Linked DNA regions of Notamacropus eugenii. The protein of the gene in region 2 interacts with the protein of the main gene of each other region in a biochemical or structural test. Links are inferred from orthologs where the notes say so. Each region holds a gene or a part of one and is shown on either strand. Other genes may lie near its edges. The genes, in order: UBE2W and RNF4.

The links.
Region 1: the proteins of RNF4 (region 2) and UBE2W form a complex in vitro, tested with the Homo sapiens proteins (2 studies listed by BioGRID). The link is inferred for Notamacropus eugenii from reciprocal best matches to the Homo sapiens genes RNF4 and UBE2W.

What each region holds. Positions count from the first base shown.
Region 1 is NC_092875.1:294,723,405-294,734,675, forward strand, and holds the start of UBE2W (ubiquitin-conjugating enzyme E2 W), read right to left. Parts: upstream 4,894-11,271; 5' UTR 4,834-4,893; coding exon 4,618-4,833; intron 1-4,617. UniProt on the Homo sapiens protein: Accepts ubiquitin from the E1 complex and catalyzes its covalent attachment to other proteins.
Region 2 is NC_092877.1:52,190,322-52,200,960, reverse strand, and holds the start of RNF4 (E3 ubiquitin-protein ligase RNF4), read right to left. Parts: upstream 4,628-10,639; 5' UTR 4,524-4,627; coding exon 4,491-4,523; intron 1-4,490. UniProt on the Homo sapiens protein: E3 ubiquitin-protein ligase which binds polysumoylated chains covalently attached to proteins and mediates 'Lys-6'-, 'Lys-11'-, 'Lys-48'- and 'Lys-63'-linked polyubiquitination of those substrates and their subsequent targeting to the proteasome for degradation.

The DNA.
Region 1 (11,271 bases), on a different chromosome or scaffold from region 2:
TCCCCAACCTATGCCTCTAAATGTTTGCCCAGCACCTCTCTAGAAAGCATTAATTAAGTTACCAAGAAAGCATTAAGTATGCTACTATGGCCAGGACTGACCAAAGTTCTTTAGTCTTTCAAAGTGAGAGTTCTCCATAATTAGCCAGACTACATCAACCTGCCTGCAGCTCTCCGGCCACCTTCAGGCCATATCTCCTCACCTTCAGCTCTCCACTCTTGCCCTGGGGTCAAGTTTGCTCCGGATGGCTAAGAAATCTCCATAAGTGACTTGCTTCAAGCTGTGTCAAAAGGTAACCACCACCATCTCCCTCCCCAACCCCAATATGGCTCTTGGAATAACTAAATCAATACTATCCTGGAAAGGACGTTCCCCTGAGGTTCCACTCACCAACCAGTGACTTCCTAAATCATATCACTTATCCCTTATATATACACTATCTTCCCTTGGTAGAAGTCAATAAGGACTTTCTTTTGTTTCACCACAAACTAGCAATCTTGCACCTAATGAACAAAATAAAATATATGCTTTTTAATTCATTAATTTCATTCACAAGAGCGTGGACTGGTAGGTAGTTACACTGATTTAGGAAAAGAACATCAATAAAACAAATTTTTTTAAAAGAAAAAGATAAAAGTTCAGAAGGGGACACAGGTAAGAAAGGCAGTTTGGTTACTATAATGTTAAATTTTATATACTCATAGGGACAATTTCTTCATGAAGGGATAGTGTGCAAAACTTGGAGTCAAGCAGACCTGGATTCAAATCCTGCCAGACACCGTGTGACCCTAAGCAAGTCAATCTCAATTTCTGCATCTGTTAAATCTGTTTTCTAGGTTTGGTGACCTGAAAGGTCCCTTTCCAGTTCTAAATTATTGATCCTGAAAACTCTCAGGTTAGGAAACTCCTTACAGAAATGTGCCTTCTCTGTAATTTATAACCCTAGAAAGTTGCTTAAAAGGTTAGAGGAACTTGCCCAGGGTCACACAACCAGCGTGTGTCAGAGGCAGGGCGTAGTTGAAATATTCATGTTAATGTTTAAGTTCACTTTTTTTAAGACAAAAAAAATGAGGGAGGCATTGCTCCAAAAGGAACCACAAATAAGGAAGAAGTTTGAAAACTACTGCCTTAATAGAAAGCATAAAATGGGCTGTGATCAAGGGCCTTTCATGTTAGTTTGGGACACTGGAAAAGTCAGGCTTTCATTTCCATACGTGTAAAAATAAGTTAAGATTAGATGATCTCTAGTCCTTATCAGCTCTTCAATTGTTTAAATCTATGAATACTAATACAATATACATCTTGAGATTGCAAAATAAATTTTTCTTAAAAAATTCAGATTTCATCTTTAGGAAATACTACTCTAAAATAGTCTGTTTACCTTTGATTTTATTACATTGGTTCTAGAAACTAATTTTTTTCATGTCTATTTGTGTTTATGCCTCGTTATTTTAATATATATTTTATGTCAATTTACAAACCTGTAGAGGGCTTTACCCTCTTAATATTTAGTAGCAGCATTATGTCCAGATAATGACATTGTTCTTTAGATCAAGAAAATTAAAGAACCTGCTCATATCTCTTAAATGGTAAGACCATCAATCACAACCCAGCAAATGAAATATGCTTTGAGATATTGTTTACTTTTTCAGTAGATATTTTAGTCATCTAGGATAATGTATTACAAACTAATAAATTTTTTCAGGAAAAAAATCTAGTCACCAAGGACAACATGAAAATAGACTTGCATAATATCCAAGATATATTAGGAAATGACACAAATTCTAAGAGCTATTTCCCAATAGGTAAGAGGTCAAAGATGAACAGTTTTCAAAAGAATTGCAAATTATAAATAATCATTTGAAAATATTTCCCAAAATACTAATAGTAAGAGAAATATAAAATTACAATAGCTGAAATTACCTAACACCTTGCAAAATTGCAAAAAGAAAAAAAAACAGTCAACATTAATGGGGCTGTGGGAAGGCATGAACATTAATATTCTGTTGATGAAGATATAAAGGGAAAGGAATAAGTATTTATATAAGTACCTACTGTGTGCCAGACACTGTGCTGCGCACTGGACAAACAGCTCATTTGATCCTCACAATATTTTTGTAAGGTAAGACCCTGTTATTATTCCCACTTTACAGCTGAAGAAACTGAGGCAAAGAGACATTAAGAGACTTGCCCAAGATCACATAGCTAATAAGTGTGTGAGATGGAATTTGAACTCAGGTCTTCATGACTCCAGATCCACAGCTCTTTCCACTGTACAAATTAGGTGCCTTATCCATCAAATGGTTTGATAGCTCTGGTTATCAATTTGGAATTCTGAAAGAAAAGGGAACTTAACTGTCCATATTCTTTGACCTAATGATCCAGCAAAACATTCATAGTAGCACTCGTTATAGTAGAAAAAAAAAGTAAACAATGATATAGATTCCATTGACTGGGAAACGGTTGGGAAAAAAAACCAATTATGCTGTATGAATATTATGCATCCGGAAAAAAGAGATTTATATGACCTTGGAGCACAAAATAAACAGAACCAAAGAGTAACATATCTCATGACTACAACTATAGAAATGAAAAGATCATTTAAAGGAAGTTGAATTGAGTACAGTTAACTGGAAAAAAAATGAAGGATCCAAAGAATATATAATGAAATATAGTTCCCTCCTCACAGAAGCAGGGAAATGATACTAGGCTAGAGTATTGTATTGTAAGATATAGTTATTGTATCAGATGTTATTTTCTAATTGTTTTAATTTGTTATAAGGGAGGGCCTCAATCTGAAAGGATTTCTATACTCTAATCATCCCATCTTCCCTTTTAAGAAATGACCAATGTAAAAGACAAAAAAACATGAATAAAATCATCTTCCAAAATAGTCTTGTAGACTTAAATTTCAAGGTTTTTCTATCATTCAAGAGACTTGACTTTTCTTTATGATCAAAAGCAAAGAAAGTGTTAAGGCTTGCACATCAGAGAGTGTATACCAACATTTTAGAATTTCAAATGCAGGGGATAACTTTAGTGTTAGAGATTCCAGAATAAAATTTCAAATATATTTCTAATTAACAAAAACAAAACCAGTTTTCTTCCCCAGTTAGCTAGTCTAAAGTCACTAAAAGCTTTAGGACAAAGAGTGATGCTTGGAACACAAAACATGCATACACATACACATATACATATACATACTGTGTGGACTACATTTTTCATACTGCCTCTGTCTGTCAAACTCTAAGTTGATAAAAATTGAGTTCTGTCCCAACTTGGTTTCTGCTCACAATTCAAATTTCCCTTCTCATTTTCAAAAAAAAAAAAAAACCAGTTATAATCTTGTCTTTCAGAACCTCAGATCTAATTTTACTCTTAATATTTTGCTGCAAGTCACTATCACTGTAATACACTCTACCAAATAATCCCATATGATAGTTTTTCCCCCACAATAAAGGTTATTTGAACATTTAGTTCAAATTCTATTTAACATAGGGTTTCTCCCTACATTTCTCCTTCTGAGTCTTAAATGATAGATGGACTTTCCATCGATCCTCCGTGATCAAACTCTCCTGAGTACTTAATACTCCGAATTTTTTCCACATATTGAACTGACACTTTCCCCTCAAATTAATTTAATTACATCTTTCCTTGTATTTCTTCAACAAAAATAAATATATAACCTTTTGTGTGTTGCATGAAAGAGTAGGGAAGGAAAGGCAAGAGAAAAAGCACAGAGAATAATAAAAGGAGAATGAGGTAAATGGGAACAAAGATGGTGTGTGCACAAAAGGGGAAGGATGCAGAAAAGGGAAGAGGAGAAAAGGAAGATCGTGTTGTCACAGCTTACAAAGAGAAAAAGCTGGGAGGAGTTTACATTTTTCAGAAGCCAAAAAACAAAAGAGCTATTTTTAACGGCGTGAAGCAAAATGAAGCAGTTTTGTTCCCTGAAGAGTTAAGTCCTTAAGCTCCAAAAATCCTGAGCTGACAGCTCACACCTCGGACTTAGTTTCTCTTCCAAGCAACTAACATTTTCGTAATTCTAGTCACCTTTGAATGAACACATGTGCCATCCATTTCAACGAACTAGAACACTGCCATCTGTCCAGGCAGTCTTCGGACGGTACAGTATCGATAAGGGTCTCTAACTCCTCATCGAAAACTCCAGTGGAAATGACATTAATAAACTCCCACTAAAAAGCGTTTCGCTAAAATGTTTGGAGAAAGGAAAGCAGAGGACGGTAAAACTGCGACCAAGGTTAAAAGTAGGGTACTTAGTTCTGGGGGCCGGGGGGATTACACATCGGGTGAGGAAGCAGCAGAGGAGCCGGTACGTGAAAGTTTCGGGGAGACCCAGACTGGAGCATTATTGGGTGAGACTTTAAACAGTGGGAGGATGTCCTACATAAGGTACGGGGCAGGGGAGAGCCAGAGGCGAAGGCTGCCGGTCAAGGGAGTGACTGTAGCTACAAGGAGCACTGGATTCAAGGGCGAAGGGGAAGGTATTTTACTCATAGAGGTGGGGAGCAGAGGCAGCGGGAGAAGAAGGGAAGGAAGGCGGCCAAAGGAAGAGCCTCGGAGGCCCGGCCGGAGCCGCCGTCCCCGGGGACCGACCTCGGGGTCTCTCGGTCTCTCCCACTTGACACAGATCCTCCCTCTCACTCCGGTCTGGACGCCGAGGCGGTCACGAAGCCCACGGGGAAAACAGCTGTTTCCTTTCGGGACAGGGAGAAGGGCAAGCAGGGGAACCTGGGCCGTGAAGGCAGAGGGGAGCGGCCGGGGGGCCACGGCTCGGGCCAACCCAGCCCTCCGCACCCTTCCCCCCACCATTCCCCCAACTTCTCCGGCTCCGGGGTCGGCTAGGGCGGGCCGGTGGTACCCCGCCTTCCCCGCGGCCGCCGGGGGCGAGGAGAGGCGGAGCCGGCCCGGCGCCGCAGACCCCGGCAGGCTCGCAGCCCTCCGCTCCCGCGGCCGCCGCCGCCGCCCTCAGCCAATCCCACAACCTCACCCCTCCTCAGCCGGGCGTTCGGATGCCGCAAACTCCTCTCACCTGCATGGACGCCATGATGGAACCATCCCCCCTGCCCGGCGCAGCCAGAGACGCAGGAGGAGGAGCCGCCGTGCTCGCGTCACGCCGCGGGATCCCAGGATCCGGGCTTGGGGGCGGGGGGTCGGAGACCGCAGGAGAAGGGAGAGCGAGATCCGGATTGGCCGCTGGGCCCACGAGCCGCGAGAGGGGGCGGGCCTAGGTGGGGGCGGGGCGGGAGCCCCGCAGGTGCTCACAGTTCCCTCTCCTCCTTCTCGGTCCTCTCCCCCCACCCCCCAGCCATCCCGGCCCAACGTCCGAGGCGGCCCCGCCCAGAAGCACCCGGGAAAGAATGAGGGAGGGGGAGGGGGAGGACAAGAGAAAGCGGGGGAAGGAGTTTAGTGCCAGGGCCCGGGAGGGCTCCGAGGCGAGATGCGGGGAGCCGGCTGGCCTCGGTCCGGGGATTAGCTCCTTCTGGTCCCCGCGTTCTGGACCATTCGTTTCCTCCTGACTTTCACAGTCTCGCGGCCCCCGCCCCCGGGACCCTGCCTTAGTGTGGAGCTAGCCCCGGAGGTCTCCACGTCCCCGCGGGGCGGTAGGACGAGGGGTAATCAGCGGAACCGGTCCGCCGAGATGAGCTGGGATGTGCCCGAGGACGTGCCTGCAGAGGCGGTGGGTCCGGCCCGCCCCGCGCTCGGGGAGCGCTGCTGCCGGGGCGGCCGCGGGGTCAAGCGCCGGGAGGACGGAGAAACGCCGACAAGCCCCCGGAGCCGCCCCGACCCGCCGGGCGCGGGCCTCGGAATCCTGCCGCTCCCCGGGCGGAGGCATTCCGAACTCACTGCACATCCGTGCTGGTGACTGTCCTCCGAAGTGTAGACTTTGCAAGTGCTGGCACCATTGCTGCCTTTAAATAGAGGACAGAGTCGGCGCTGGAGAGAGGTGGGGAGCGGTGTGTGAATGACTCTGAATATGTGGATCTATTTTGTTTTTTACTGTAATTTCTGTTACACATACGAACCTGTCTGAACTTCGGACGTCTGGGGATGGGGGTGCGGGAGGCGTACAATCCACAAGATCTCCCTGAACATTCGAGATCTGGAGGATGAAAAATGCTCTGTAAGAAGCAAACCTTCACCCAGGAAAAAACTTCAGACTGTCATCCGTGAAAGCAGCACGTGTATGTGAACCACCTAGGTAATGCTGTGCAAAGCAGACGCGAGTACTTCAGATTTAAAAGTATTCTAAAGTTAGAACGGTGTCTTTTACTTCTTATATTTGTCTTTATTTTGAAAAAAAATAAAAAACTTCCCATGAAATTTCAAAAGTGACTTTGAAGAAGAAGGAGTTGGAAAATATACTAATTATTCTTCATTAACGTATAGGATTTGTGATTGTTCATATTCAAGGGGGACATCTCCAAATCTTATGAAACTACATGGTTTTGATGTCAAAATATATATTCTCAGCTACAGCAGCGCTTGCTTTTACTTGCTAACTTCCCTGACCGCGTAGATTAGAGAAACTGGTTGGTTTTCTCTGTCGGAGAAAAATTAGTCAATTTTATCAACAATAGTCCGGAAGGCATGTAGTCTAAGCTGTGAAAAGACAGTTTTGTCCGGTCAAAATTACTACACTGAGAGGGAAGAAATATTCAATATTAAAAAAAAGAAGAAGAAGCTTAACAATTAGAGCTGAACTGTCAAACATGAATACCTAGACAGATCTAGCACTTTTTAAGGCAAAAATACTTGATGATCCTATGTTCACAAAAAAGGGTAATGCCTTTGTTAATGCCTTGACCCCAAACCTTATGGATGTCAATAAGGAAGAGACATTTTTCAAGAATCTGGACAAAATCATAATATCACTATCAAATCTGAAGTTGTTGGTCATATGAATTTCAATGTATTTGTTAGCAGGGATGCTAAATGCGATGGAGAAGTCATTGGAGAAATCAGAAAACTATAGAACCACAGAATTTTCTAGCTGGAAAGGTCCTTAGAGATAATTTAGTTAACTTATTTAATTCTTTAGGCCAACAAGGTGTCAGTAGTTAGAGTGCAGGGCCTGGAATCAGAAAGACTCTTCTTTTTGAGTTCAAATCTGGCCTTCACACACTTACTAGTTGTGTAACTATGGGCAAGTCTCTTAAACCTGTTTGCCTCAGTTTCCTCATCCATAAAATGATTTGAAGAAGGAAATGACAAACCACTCCAGTATCTCAGCCAAGAAAATCCCAAATGGGGTCACAAAGAGTCAAACATAACTGAAAACAACTCAACATTTAATTCTTTAGATGAACAGCATAGCAAGTACCAGCCACATGTTTCATTTATGACTTGAAATCTAAGGAACTGACAAGACCAAATGATCTAGTTAGATATTCAAAATACATTCAGAGTCATATATTATATATATGTATATATGTCATATAATATATGGTGCAGTGGATAGCGCACCAGTGCAGGAATCAGGAGGACCAGAGTTCAAATCTCACCTGAGACACTTGATACTCACTAACTGTGTGACCTTGGGCAAATCACTTAACCCCAATTGCCTCATCCTGGGTCATCTCCAGTCATCCTGATGAATATCTGGTCACTGGATTCAGATGACTGTAGAGGACAGGTGAGGCTGGTGACCTCACAGCCCTCCCTCACTCCAAACAAAGTCAAGTGCAAGTCATGTCATTATTTCTCTGATGGCCTAGTCTTCTTTGGCAATGAAGGATGAACACACACACAATATAAAGCCCCAGAATATTGATATAGGTAGCAAAGAATATTATGCCTTGGATTAACTAATGAAAAAAGCATTTGTTAAGTTAAATATTGTCATACTTTCTGCCAAGCACTGTGCTGAATGCTTGGGCTACAAATAGAAAAGAAAGACAGTCCCTGCTTTCAAAGAACTCACATTCTAACTGGGGAGACAATGTATAGAATTTACTTTCAGGACAGATGATCTTTAGAGTACAGTGGCAAAGCAGTCAGTAATACATCTTTAGTGTCATTTCCATTGATAAACCAAATCCATTTCTGATTTTGACCCTTTTTTTTCTGTTGCCAAGGATTTTAGTGGAGAGAACTTTCTTTTCTGGGGTTTCAGGAGTTTGGAAACAAGTAGACCACTCAATTTCCAAATTAAGCAATAGAATCCTACTGGATTAACTAATTGACTAAGTGCACTAAGGCCTCCTTTTGGTGATGTGAAGAACCCCTTATACAAGTACTAAAAATAGAATATAGTTTGTTGGACCTGAAATATTCATTCAGGAGAGGGCTGTTGTTGTTACCAACCTAAGAGCATCCCCATGGGGAATTTGAGGTACTTGGAGAATTGTGTTCATCAACTCATTGTGGATCTTCATTAAGTATCTGCACTTGAGACCTGTGTGCACCTGTCCCAGAACAAAGGAAAACAGAGAAAGCTGAAGTGTCTTATCCAAGGACACACAATGGTATTCGGTGGAATTTGAATTAGAACCCAGCTCTCTTTCATTCAACATTCATTCAGGAAACTTTCATTCAAAACAGACCTCCACCTTAACGATATCTCATAGTGCCAAGTGACAGCAAATAATTAATTACAAGCATCATCCTCGGCCAAACGCTATTGTACTCAAAAAACTTTGGTGGTTCTCTATTGTCTCTAAGTAAAATACAAACTCCTCTGATATTTTAAGCTCTTCATAATCATATTCTCAGAATATCTCTTATATGGGTCTCTACTCACACAGCCCCCATCTTGGTTCAGGCCCTCATCACCTTTCCCCTAGAATTCCTACAGTCTTTCCCTGCTCTAATTTATTCTTTGCTCAGGATTCAGTCATTTTTCTAAGGCATCCATCATGCCACACTCCATACCTAATAAACTCCAGTAGCTCCCTATTAGTTCTAGAATCAATTATAAAATCTCTTTGGCATTTAAAGAAAGTCCTTCATAACCCCTTCTTACCTTTTCATTCTTCTTATACTTTACTCCTCTCCATGTTAGTTTGACCCAGAAATACTAGCCTATTTACTATTTCTGGCACATGACCTTTCATATCCAGCTTCTGTTGGCGTGCTCTGGCCATACTCTCACCGCCAGTCCCATTCCCCCAGTGCTGCTTTTCCCGATCTCCTTCTTTTCAAATTCCTGGCTTCTTTTAAGACTCAGATCAAATACTACTTCTGCAAGAGGCCTTCCCCAGTATTTCCCTCCCTGACATTACCTACAAATCACAAACTCCTGAAGACAGGAACTGCTTTTGCCTTTCTCTCAATCCCCAATAGTTAGTCAGTGCCTGACATTGTAAGTTCTTAACAAATGCTTATGGACCTATTTTTTAAGACTTATTACTGCTATTCTCCTTATTGTGTTCCAACTGCTTTCATTCCACAATCATTTATTAAGATCCTGTAAGAGAAAAGTTTTAATCAACTATTAAAGGATGTAAGATGCAGCCACTGTTATCAGTGAATGTTGTGATGCCTAAAAGAAATAGAAAGAAGCAGGAGAAGAAGTTTGTTTTAATTTCTTGTTGTTTGGTCATGTCTGACTCTTTGTGACCCCATTTGGGGTTTTCTTGGCGAAGATATTGTAGTGGTTGGCCGTTTCCTTCTCCAGCTCATTTTATAGATGAAGAAACTGAAGCAAACACAGGGTTAAGTGACTTGCTTTGGGTCACACAGCTAATAAGTATCTGATGTCAGATTGGAACTCAGGAAGAGGAATCTTCCTGACTCCAGGCCCAGCAATCTATCCACTGTACCACCTAACTAAAGTATGATGCATGGAGGGGCGGAGCCAAGATGGCAGAGTAGAAAGACGCATATACACATAGCTCCGAACCCACAACCCACAGAACGGCTAGAGGGGAGTAACTCACGGCGAATTCTGCACCCAGAGGCCACGGAATATTGGAGCGAGGGAGATTTCTGTTCCGGAGAGACCTGCAAACCTCTCATGGGGGGTCCTTCGCGCTGTGGACTGGGCGCCGGGACTGGGAGCAGAGGACAGCCCTGCAGCGGCCGCGACACCGTGAGGAAAAGATCCGAGCGGGCTATGGGGACAGGATATCCAGCGGCGGCACAAGCCCCCCCACCCACAGGTGATGAGGGTCGGTGAGAGAGTCTCTTTGGCGGGTCGAGAGGGGAGTGGGGTGTCCCCATGGCTCGGGGCCCCCCCCCGGGAGATAGAAGCTGAGAGGTGGCTGCAGACAGGGGCTCCCCAAGGGGGCAGGAGCCTGAATCCATTGTGGAAGGTCTGTGCATAAACCCCCTGAGGGAACTGAGCCTGAGAGGTGGCCCTGCCCCGACCTGACCATCTGAACTTAATTCTCACACTGAATAGCAGCCCTGCCCCCGCCAAAGCCCTAAGGCAGGAAGCAGCATTTGAATCCCAGTCCCCAAACGCTGGCTGGGAGGACCAGGAGGTGAGGTGGGTGTGAGGAGAATATTCAGAGGTCAAGTCACTGGCTGGGGAGAATGCCCAGAAAAGGGAAAAGAAATAAAACTATTGATGGCTACTTTCTTGGAGATCAGACATTTCCTCCCTTCCTTTCTGATGAGGAAGAACAATGCTTACCATCAGGCAAAGACACAGAAATCAAGGCTTCTGTGTCCCAGCCCACCCAATGGGCTCAGGCCATGGAAGAACTCAAAAAGAATTTTGAAAATCAAGTTGGAGAGGTGGAGGAAAAACTGGGAAGAGAAATGAGAGGGATGAAAGAGAAGCATGAAAGGCAGATCAGCTCCCTGCTAAAGGAGAACCAAAAAAATGTTGAAGAAATTAACACCTTGAAAACTAGCCTAACTCAATTGGCAAAAGAGGTTCAAAAGGCCAATGAGGAGAAGAATGCTTTCAAAAGCAGAATTAGCCAAATGGAAAAGGAGATTCAAAAGCTCACTGAAGAAAATAGATCTTTCAAAACTGAAATGGTACAGATGGACGCTAAGGACTTTATGAGAAAGACAGATATCACAGAACATAGCGTGAAGATTCGAAAAATGGAAGATAATGTGAAATATCTTATTGGAAAAGCAACTGACCTGGAAAATAGAATCAGGAGAGACAATGTAAAAATTCTGGGACTACCTGAAAACCATGATCAAGAGAAGAGCCTAGACATCATCTTCCATGAAATTATCAAGGAAAACTGCCCTGAGATTCTAGAACCAGAGGGCAAAATAAATATTCAAGGAATCCGCAGAGCACCGCATGAAAGAGATCCAAAAAGAGAAACTCCTAGGAACATT
Region 2 (10,639 bases):
TGTCACCGAGCCACGTAGGGACGCAGGCCATCTGCCACACCTTATTATAAAGGGGGTAAGAGACAGGGAGTTATCCTGAGGCTACAAATCTGAGTGACAGAAATAGCTAAGTTTGGAAAAGGCTTTAGTAGGGACACAAATTCTGTTTTGGACATGTTGTGTCTGAGATGCCAGTGGAAATTCCAGATGGAGATGCCTGTAGGGGAATTGGAAAGGTAGGACTGAGTTTCAGGAGAGAGTTTATGACTGGATACATGTATACACACATATACACATATACATATATCTATACATTATATATACATATATGTAATGGAAACTAATCAGGAGAATCACCTGAGATTTGTTGGACTTTGGGCCACCTCTAGTAAACCATATTTATTTTAGCTCCAGGTTGAAGGATGTGGCATTTGGGATGACACAGCAAGTCCTAAATGGTCTTCTGGTCCCCCATGATGGGGGTGGGGGGGAAGAGTGCCAGCTAAGTTTAAAAGGAGAGATTGCTTTCACTTTCTCTCAACTCTTCTTTTTTTTCTCCAGTAGGAACATGAAATTTCCTCCCTGGGATTTGGGGTTAAAAGCCATCATTCACACATGGCAGTGAACACATGTGATGCCCAGATGAGCCTGAGTTAGACCCTCTTTCTTTTTCTGATCATAGGTGACCAAGCAGTGATCATGAGAGCAGGACTTTTGCTGAGTGTATCTACCTTAAGAATTTGGGAACTCCTAGTTTCCATAGTCAATACTGTTAGAGAAGCCTCTTGAAGCAAGGATGGTGCTTCTTGGAGGAGAGATGACTGGCAAGATGAACTAAAGACTTGACCTGGCTTGCCAGAAGCAGTGGACCTGGAAGGAAATGTATAACAGTGCAGAGCTGAGGTGAGGGTGAAATACCCACCTGACAATCCCACAGTATGTTCCTTGCTTTAATGTTTTAAGTATCAGCCTCCCAGAAGAGTTATATTATTGCTTCAAATTTGTCAGTGAGTGCTGGTCTTTTTTTAAGTGTGCGTGTGCTTGCATGCAGTTGTTCTATGCATGATCTATGTTGCACATTGAGTACTTTTCTATGCCCTTTTAAGGAGACCCTGAACATTATCCAACCTCAGCTTTAAGTGATTTTCCCTGAGACTCAAGGGTTTGAGTATAAAGAGCCAGAAAGTTTGAGAAAAAGATCCTGACCTCTCTTTTTAGGGAATGAGGAACCCTCAGGACTAAACCAGGTTTGTACATGTAGAACAATTGCTAGGGATTCCTTTAGAGAGGGAGGGCAAGCAGCTCAGCCCTGCTGAGCTCAGCATGTTGTTACCTGTTTGTATATATGTTTAAGTCATCTGAGTAAGTTGATATTTGAACACATTTGAGTGAATGAGATTGGCAAGGGAGAAAGTGTAGAAAGAAAAATTGACATAAGACAGAGCCCTAAACCTAATGAGGTAGAAAATGCTACACAGTTCAGCAAAGGAGATTGCTGAGGGTGACCAAACAGGTAGAAGGAGAACCAGGAGAGAAGTCGAGGGAATGAAGCGTATCTAGGAGAGGATGATGAAAAGTGCAAAAATCTTCAGAGGTCAAGTAAGGAGAAGCTAGAAAAGGGCATCAGACTTAGCAATGATTTTGGGGAAAAGGGATAGAGCAAAGAGCCACATTGTGAGGGGTTGAAAAGTAAATGGATGGTGAAAAGTGGAGGCAGTGAATGTAAATATGTCTATTTAGGAGTTTGGTGTTCATGGGGAGAAGTGTATGATAATAGCCTGAGGAAATGGCAAGATTAAGTGAAGGTTGTTATCAATGGAGAGCTGTGTATGTTTGAGGGTAGCAAAAAGGGAGAGATTGAAGAGAGACAGATAGAAAGAGACAGAGACAGAGAGAGAGGAGGGAAAGGAAGAGATTGAAAGAAGAACAGGGAGGAAGGAGGAGGGAGAGAGACAGGAAATAAAGGCATTCTCAAGGAGAGGGGAAGAGATGGTATATCAAGGGTTCAAGTAAAGCTTTTGGTCTTAGCAAGGAGAAAAAGGCTGTCTTATTAGAGACTAGGCAGAAGAAGAGAAAGCAGGTGAAAACTTCAGAAATTTTGAGGAAGATGAGCCATCGTAAGGTCTTTTCCAGCTTTCACATTCTACGATCTTGGTATTAGGTGTTGACAGAGACTATACAGTGTGATGGGGGGATGTGCAAAGTTGAAATTGGCAGAAAGGTCAACTAGGATGAACACTTAGGAAAAGGTGTTGAGATTTCATCAGTAAGTTTGGAGAAAACAGTTTCTTTCAAGCTAGATTGCGAGAGGCTAGAAAATGGGAGGTGAAGAAGTAGAGGCCATCAATATAGACTCTTTTCCTAGAAGGCTGGCTGTGAAAGGAAGAAGAGATTTGAGGGGACTGCAGGGTCAAAGGAAGGTTTTTGGTTTTTTTTTTTAATAATGGGGAGATGTAGAAATTTGTAGGCAGTAGAGAAGGAGAGCCTGAAGATCAGAGACAAAAAGGAAATATAGTTAACCCTTTCAAATCACAGAGGGTAGGGACATGGGCCCCCCATAGTCCAGAAATCCACTTAAATATTTTTTGGCCCTCCTTTGGTACCAGAGAATTATTACAATATTAAAAGACAAAATATGGTGATATTATACAATGCTGTACATATGTTTTATGCATTTCTAAGTTTCTAAACGTTTTCTGTGTCATCTGCTGTCCTCATGTTGTCTGCAAAATTTCCAAAAAATTCCCATTGAATTTCTTATGCAGACAAGCAATGGGGAAAGTCTAGATATGGAAGAGAAAATAGTCCAAGACCTACCTGAGGCAAAAGGAGAATGTTTGACCATTTATAGGCTCAGGTTAGAATCATTTGTATTTTGTCAGATCAAATAAAAATTGTTCTATATTGTTTGATATTTTTAATCTGAGTACTTATATGGAAGGTGAAGGCCCATTTAGACATGAGACAAACATTCCCTGGGAAAATACTGGGCAGGAACAAAATGAACCAAATTCTGATATTCCTAAGGGAAACCTTACATGGAGGTTTAAGTCAAATAAATAGTTACTGGAATCCTCTAGAACATAATCTTGAGATCCAGAGCCTCAGGTTCTAGCCATGGATCATACTATATTTCTTTTGGCAATATAGTTACTGCCCACGTCAATCATCAGAAGCCAGTAGTAGTCATAAGGCCGTGACAAGTCATTAGTGGTTGGTTCTTTGTCATGTACCAGATATACACTCAAGGAAGACAGCAAACCTCACTCTAGTTATTGTCAAGTTCACAAATTGCTGTTTCAGTACAACAGGGAGTCCGGCTACTCATACTTACCACTTCTTCCTTTGACCCTAGATGGATGATCTTTCATTTGGTGGTACCTGCATATTCACATCATTCATTTTTTCATTCTTTTAGAAGGAAATCTCAAAGACTTGCTCATTTTAGAGATGAGGAATTTGAAGCACACAGAAGAGACTAGTGGTGTGTGGGTGTGTGTTTTTGTGTGTGTGTGTGTGTGTGTGTGTGTGTGTGTGTGTATGGGTATGTGTGTGTGAGTGTGTGTGAGTGTGTGTGTGTGTGTGTGTACTGGATCTCCTTATCTCACCTAGACTGGAAGTGTAGCAGCTACTCTTGGACCTGATACCACTACTGGGACAAAGTACAGAAGCTTTGACTTTCTCCATTTCTGATATAAGTTGGTTTGCCACCACTCCCACCCCACCCCAGGGCAGCCTGGTGACCCACTGCTCCAGAAAGCTCCCAATATTGGTGCCAGACTTAGTGTGTACACTTCAATCGGCTTAACCCTACTGCAGTTCAGAACTCCTGAGCTCAAGCAATCCATCCGCCTCAGCCTCCTCTGGTAGCATGGATTATAGGTGTGTACCATCACACCCAGACCTCCTGTTCTTTTCATCACATTCTACTTCCATTCAAAATCACATTTACCAGCTTACCCATCTCAGTTCCCAGAAATCTTCTGTTCCAAAAGGGTAGCAGGGTAGACATATGTTTACATCCTTTCTGAAAGCAATTTCTCAGGGTTGCTATATCTATCTCCTGCACACACATGGACTTGTCAGTGGATAAGTGTAACACATGGTCTATAAATATCTTCCGATGGCTTTTACAGAGACAATCTAGGTGACTGTACTAGGCCCCATGATTTGGGGGTGAGAGTCGGCTCACTGCTGGTATTGGGTTTGGGTAATGACTCAGAGAGGCAGCTTGGAGGAGAGAAAAGGATGGCTCCATGTCTGGCACTGAGCAAAAGATGTAAGGCTCATATAGAGGCTCAGCCTCTTCTTCCTCCAAAAGGTCATCTCCTTAAGGAGACTGTGGTTTTTTCCCTTCAAAGTTACCTTTGACAGTCATTTTAAGGTAGTTTCACCTATACAGAAATATTAGGAAGACAGGTACTAAGCCCTCTTTACTTCTCTCTCTACAATCTTTCCCCTGACAACGTCATTTACCCCTATGGCCTCAACTACAACCTCTATGCAGATACCTCCCAATTCTTTATCTTCAGGCTAGTCTTCATTCCGCTCTGGATTCCATTCTTGATTCCCCAGACATTTCCCCATCATGCGACAGCAGCCTTCTCACTCTGGAAATTCATTCTGCCTCTGTAGTCTCCTCACTTCATCCTGTAAGCTCACTCTTACCCCTGGCCTTCTCACAATGCAAATATACCCCACCCCTGCAGCTCTTTCCTCTGATTGGTTGGTTTCTCCCATAGCCTCCCTTTTAAGAAAAATGCCCAGGTCACTCATATACCTCTTCATTCTCCTCTGGGCTCCATTCCAGAATTTTCAGACTTTCTCCATCGTGTCCCCATCAAGTACCTTGGTATTTTATGTATTATCTTTTCCCATCTTAGGTCCTTGAAGGCAAGGATTGACTTTCTTTCTGCTTGTTTTTGTATTCCCAGGATTTTAGCACAGTGTTTGGCACATAATAAGTACTTAATAAATGCTTGTTGACTTGACTTGACCTCTTGCTAAATAACCTCCTGAATCCCCCACCCACCCCATTCCCAGCACATCAAATTCAACATGTCTCAACCAAGTTCCTCATTGTCCCCCCAATTTAATAAACATGTAGTACATGCCATGGACTGTGTCAGGCATCAGGTATTAATAGAAAGAAAAAAATGAGACAGCCCTTGACCTGTAGGAGCTTACATTCTATTAGAGGATATAATGTGCCCAGATAAGACAAAGTAATTGGAGGAAGAAGCATCTCCTCTTCTTTATGACTTCATTATTTCTGTCTGTGGTACCACCATTCACCAGGTCTCCCATGTTTGAAACCTTAGTAGAGTATGGGACTTTTCCTTTTCTCCAGTCCCCTATCTCGAAGCAGTTGTCAGGCCCTATTGCTTCCTCCTCTACAGTATCCATCCCATCATCACTTTCCCCACAGCCACAAGTACTCACTTATCCCTACCTGCTGGGACCTTTGCAATAGCCTCCTACAAAGTCTTCTTATTTCCACAATCTTCCCACTCCAATCTCACCTTCTTAGAGCTTTCAGACTAGTCTTCCTTATGCATAGATCCAGTTATGTTGCCCACCAAGCTCCAGACTCTTCAACGTTTGCCTGGTATCTACTGAGTCAAATTCAGATTCCTTAGCTTGGCGTCCAAAATCCTCCATGACCTAGCACAAACCTAACTTTCCAACTTTATCTCACATGACTCAACTCTACACACAGTCTTTGCTCTACTCAAACTATTTATTCATGCAAACTGTCTTCTAGACATACTTTGTGCGTTTTCTGTGCCTGTGTTTTTGTTCTCTATGCCTACAATCCTCGCTTTCTGCCTGATGTCACCACGTTCTTCAAGGCCCAACTCATGGCATTTCCCCTAGGAAGCCTTTTCTACTCTCTTTTTGGTGATAGTCTCTTCCCTACTGAGCTCATACAGGATGTTGTGGCACCACAGTAATGCACTCATCATAAAATGATACATTTTGAGCTAGGGAGACCATCATTTTAGGAAAGGGCCCTGTCATGCTCATGCCTCTCTCACGTCTGAAATCTCTTTGAAATTTTCCTCTTCTCCTGCATCATTGCTTCCTCTCCGCTTTCCAACTCCTCTGTCTTCCCTCATTAGCATCTAAACTTCTTGAGTCTAAGACCTCTTGTTTGCTTGCATTTTTCTCTGTGGATCTTAGTACAGAGCCTGGCATATGCTTTGCCTATCTATCTTATATTAGATCACTTAGACCAACGACTTTTTACAGGGTCATTAGATCATACAGGAAATAGCGTGCTGAGCCTGGCATCAGAAAGAACTGAGTTCAAATCTGGAAACAGACACTTATTAGCTGTGTAGCTATAGGCAAGTCATTTAATCTCTGTTTGCCTCAGTTTCCTCAACTATAAAATGGAAATAATAATTGCACCTGCCTCTCAGAGTTGTTGTGAGGATCAAATGAGATAGTATTTGAAAAGTACTTAGCATAGTGCGTGGCACAGAGTAGGCACTATATAAGTGCTTACTATTAATTATTATTAGATGTGGAAACTGAGTCCAGGAGAGGTTTTGTGATTTGCCCAGGATCTCATGGCAGAATTTGAGCCCAGGTGTTCTAAACTCCAAATCCAACACATTTCTACTGAGGAAACTATCTTTTATTTAGTGTTTTTTTGTGCCATTGTTTTTGATGCTTATATTTCATTCCCCTATTAAACTAAGGCCTATGCAGATAGGGACTATATCTCATCTAAAATTTGTATTTTCCTCCTTCCAGAACAGCATTCTGCACACAGCAGGTCTTTGAATGTTTGTTGAATTGAAATTTACTAACCTCAAGCCTTCAAGATATTAATACTGACCTAGTGGAGACATAAGCTCACCAACTGAAGAGGGAGAGTCAAGCAAAGAGTTTGATGTAGTTCATAGGATCCTGAGAGTTGGAACTGGAAGGACCCATAGGGAACACTGAGTTCAACTTTCTCATTTTACAGATGAGGAAAGTAAGTCCTTGAGCTGGGAAGGAATCTGCTCAGGATCACACAGCTAGTGGGTAGCAGAGTCAAAATTTGAACTGTTGATTCACTCATCCTGAAACTGGAAACCCAGAGGGCAGAGCCAAGATGGCAGAGTAAAGACAATGACTCACCTGAGTTCTCCCAAATTCCCATCCAAAGAACTTTAAAATAATGCCTCAAAATGCTCCATAAAAGGACGTGAAACAATTTTCTAGCTCAAGGCCACTTAGAAGGACTGCAGTTGTGGAAAAGCAAGCACCTCGACATATCACAGAAGCTCCTGCTGTCCAGATTCATAGATCTGCTTTTCTAAAAGGAAAGCAACTTTTGAGGAGTCAACAATCACTTTAATCAAGCACATTTTCAGGGGAAAAAGTAAACACCCTGAACTTCAGAGAAACAAAGATCAGCCAACAGGCAGGGCTTCCAAGCAATACATGCATCACAGATTAACAGACAGATCCAACTGTCTGACCATACATACATACCAGAGGGAGAAAAAGCCAGGGGGCTCCTTAGCAGCTGCCCAGAGTCTCCTCTGACCAAATAAACACTTCCAAAGAGTAAACCTCAAAATAAAATCTCTCCTTAGAGTATTTATATACTTTTCAGAGCCGGAGGTCATCACAACCCTTGAGAACCCAGTGCCTCATTAGAAATTAAGAAAGGGTATGATCCTCTCCTAATCAAGCTTCCCTTAACATGTAGGCCCATCAATGGGCAGGGAAGATCTTTAACTCTCATTAGCATTACAAGGTGTTGCACTAAGTGAGAGTGGAACACAATCCAGTACAGGCAATGTCCTAGCAAACTAGCAGGAGGTCTTGGAGGGGACCCATGGAATTGGCAGGGGTAAATTCCAGAACTCTTAGCCTATAGATGGTAAGGGAGTTAGACAACTGGTCAAAAGGAGATTACAGAGGTTCTGTTATTAGCACTAGGTACAAGACTCTGTTGCACTGCCCATATGTGGATCTAGGTTGCAGTCCTTGGTTATAGTCCCAGGGCAAGAAAGAGCACTAGCACATTAGAGCTTAGGGCTGTAAAGGAGTGGGGGCTCCAATTACAGTTCCAAGGCAGAAAAGAGTGTCTGTGGTCACTAATAGACCAGAGCACAGGCCATGAGAGCAGTGAACATGCTTCTCCTTAGGCCATACCACCTTGGAAGAACTGAAAATTTACAGACCTTCAGAACTAGCTCTGAAATCAGCTGCACCAAAACAAACAACAACAACAAAAAAAACCAACCCAGAATCTTGGGGCAGTGCTCCCTGAACTCTAGGAGCAGAGCCCAACTTTCACATAGAGTTAAAAGTCAATAAATAGTCTAGAAAATGAGCAAACAACAGAAAAAGAACCTGATCATAGGATGCTACTATGGTGTCAGGGAAGATCAAAATGCAAACTTAGAAGAAGACAACAAAGTGAAAACTGCTACGTCCAAAGTCTCAAAGGAAAATAAGAATTGGTCTCAAACTCAAAAAGAATTCTTGGAAGAGCTCAAAAGAATTTCAAAAAGGAAAAATTAGGAAAAAAATTAGTGTGATGCAAGAAAATCATGAAAAAAGATCAATAGCTTGGTAAAGGAGGTACAAAAAATACTGAAGAAAATAACACATGAAAAAACAGAATAGATCAAATGGTAAAAGAGGCACAAAAATTCACTAAGGAAAAGAACTACTTACAAAACAGAATCAGCCAAATGGAAAAAAGATATACAAAAATTCCCTAAAGGAAAGAATTCCTTAAAAAGTAGAATTGTCAAATAAAAAGGGAAGTACAAAAGTTCACTGAGGAAACTAATTCCTTAACAGTTAGAACTGGGCAAAAGGAAACTAATGACTACATGAGACATCAAGAAACAATAAAACAAAATCAAAAGAATGAAAAAATACAAGAAAATATGGAATATCTCATTGGAAAAACAACTGATTGAGGAGAGACAATTTAAGAATTATTGGAGTACCTGAAAGTCAAAAAAGAACACAGACATCATCATTCAAGATTGTCAAGGAGAACTGCCCTGGTATTCTAGAACCAGAGAATAAAATAGAAATCAAAAGAACAGACTTATCGCCTCCTGAAAGACATCCCAAAATGAAAACTCCCAGGAATATTACAGACAAATTGTAGAGCTTTCAAGTGAAAGAGAAAATATTTCAAGCAGCAGAAAGACAATTTAAATATGTTGGAACTACAGTCAAGATAACATAAGATTTAGCATCTTCTACATTTAGGGATGAGAGGACTTCCAATATAATATTCCAGAGAGCAAAGGAGCTAGAATTACAACCAAGAATCACCTACCCAGCAAAACTGAGTATAATCCTTCAGGAGAAAAAAAAATGTATATTCAATGAAATAGAACACTTTCAAGAATTCCTGATGAAAACAACAGAGCTGAATAGAAAATTTGACTTTCAAAGACAAGACTCAAGAGAAGCATAAGAAGGCACACAGGAAAGAGGAATCATAAGGAATTCAATAAGGTTAAACTGTTTACATCCCTCCATGGGAAGATGGTACTTATAACTCCTAAGTGCTTTCTCATTATTAGGGCATTTAGAAGGAGTGTGCATAAACAGAAAGCATAGGTGTGAATTGACTATGATAGGATGGCATTTAAAAAAATAAAATTAAGGAGTGAGAAAGAGGAGTGCACTGGAAGAAGAAGGAAGGGAGAGGTAGAATGGGGCAAATTGTCTTACATAAAAGAGACACTAAAGAGCTTTTAAAATGGAGGAGAAGATGAGGTGGGGGATGGGCAATGCTTCAACCTTACTCTCATCAGAATTGGCTCAAAGAAGGAATAACATTCAATTGGTTATCATCTATCATACAGGAAAGTAGAAGGGGAAGGAGATAAGAGAAGGTAGGGGCTGATTAAAAGGAGAGAGTCAGAAGCAAAACACTTTTGAGGATGGACAGGTTGTAAGGAGAGAGTACAATAAAGAGGGGAAAAATGTGATGGGGGAAATATACGGTAATCATAACTGTGAAAATTTTTTCCAAGTTTCACTTTTAAAAGTCAAATTTTTAAGAATACAAGTTATTCACCAATTGATAAATGGTCTAAGGATATGAACAGGCAGTTTTCAGACAAAGAAATCAAAACTATCAATAGCCATGTGAAAAAATACTCTAAATAATTACTGATTAGAGAAATACAAATTAAAACAACTCTGGGGTACCACTTCACACCTATCAGATTGGCTAATATGACAGAAAAAGAAGATGACAAATGTTGGAGGGGTATAGGAAAACTGAGACACTAATGCATTGTTGAAAGAATTGTGACCTGATCCAACCATTCTGGAGAACAATTTGAAAGTATGCCCAAAGGGTTATAAAACTGTGCATACCCTTTGACCCAGCAATGCTACTGGGTATAAAATAAAATCAAAGAGATTTTTAAAAATAAAGGAAAGGACCTATATGTGCAAAAATATTTATAGCAGCTCTTTTTGAAAAGAATGTCCATCAATTGGGGAGTAGCCGAGCAATCAGTAGTATATGACTGTGATGGAATACTATTGTCCTATAAGAAATGATGAGCAGGTTGATTTCAGAAAAACCTAGAAAAACTCATATGAACTGATGCAAAGTGAATTGAACAGAATCAGGAAGACATTGTTCACAGTAACAGCAATACTGTAT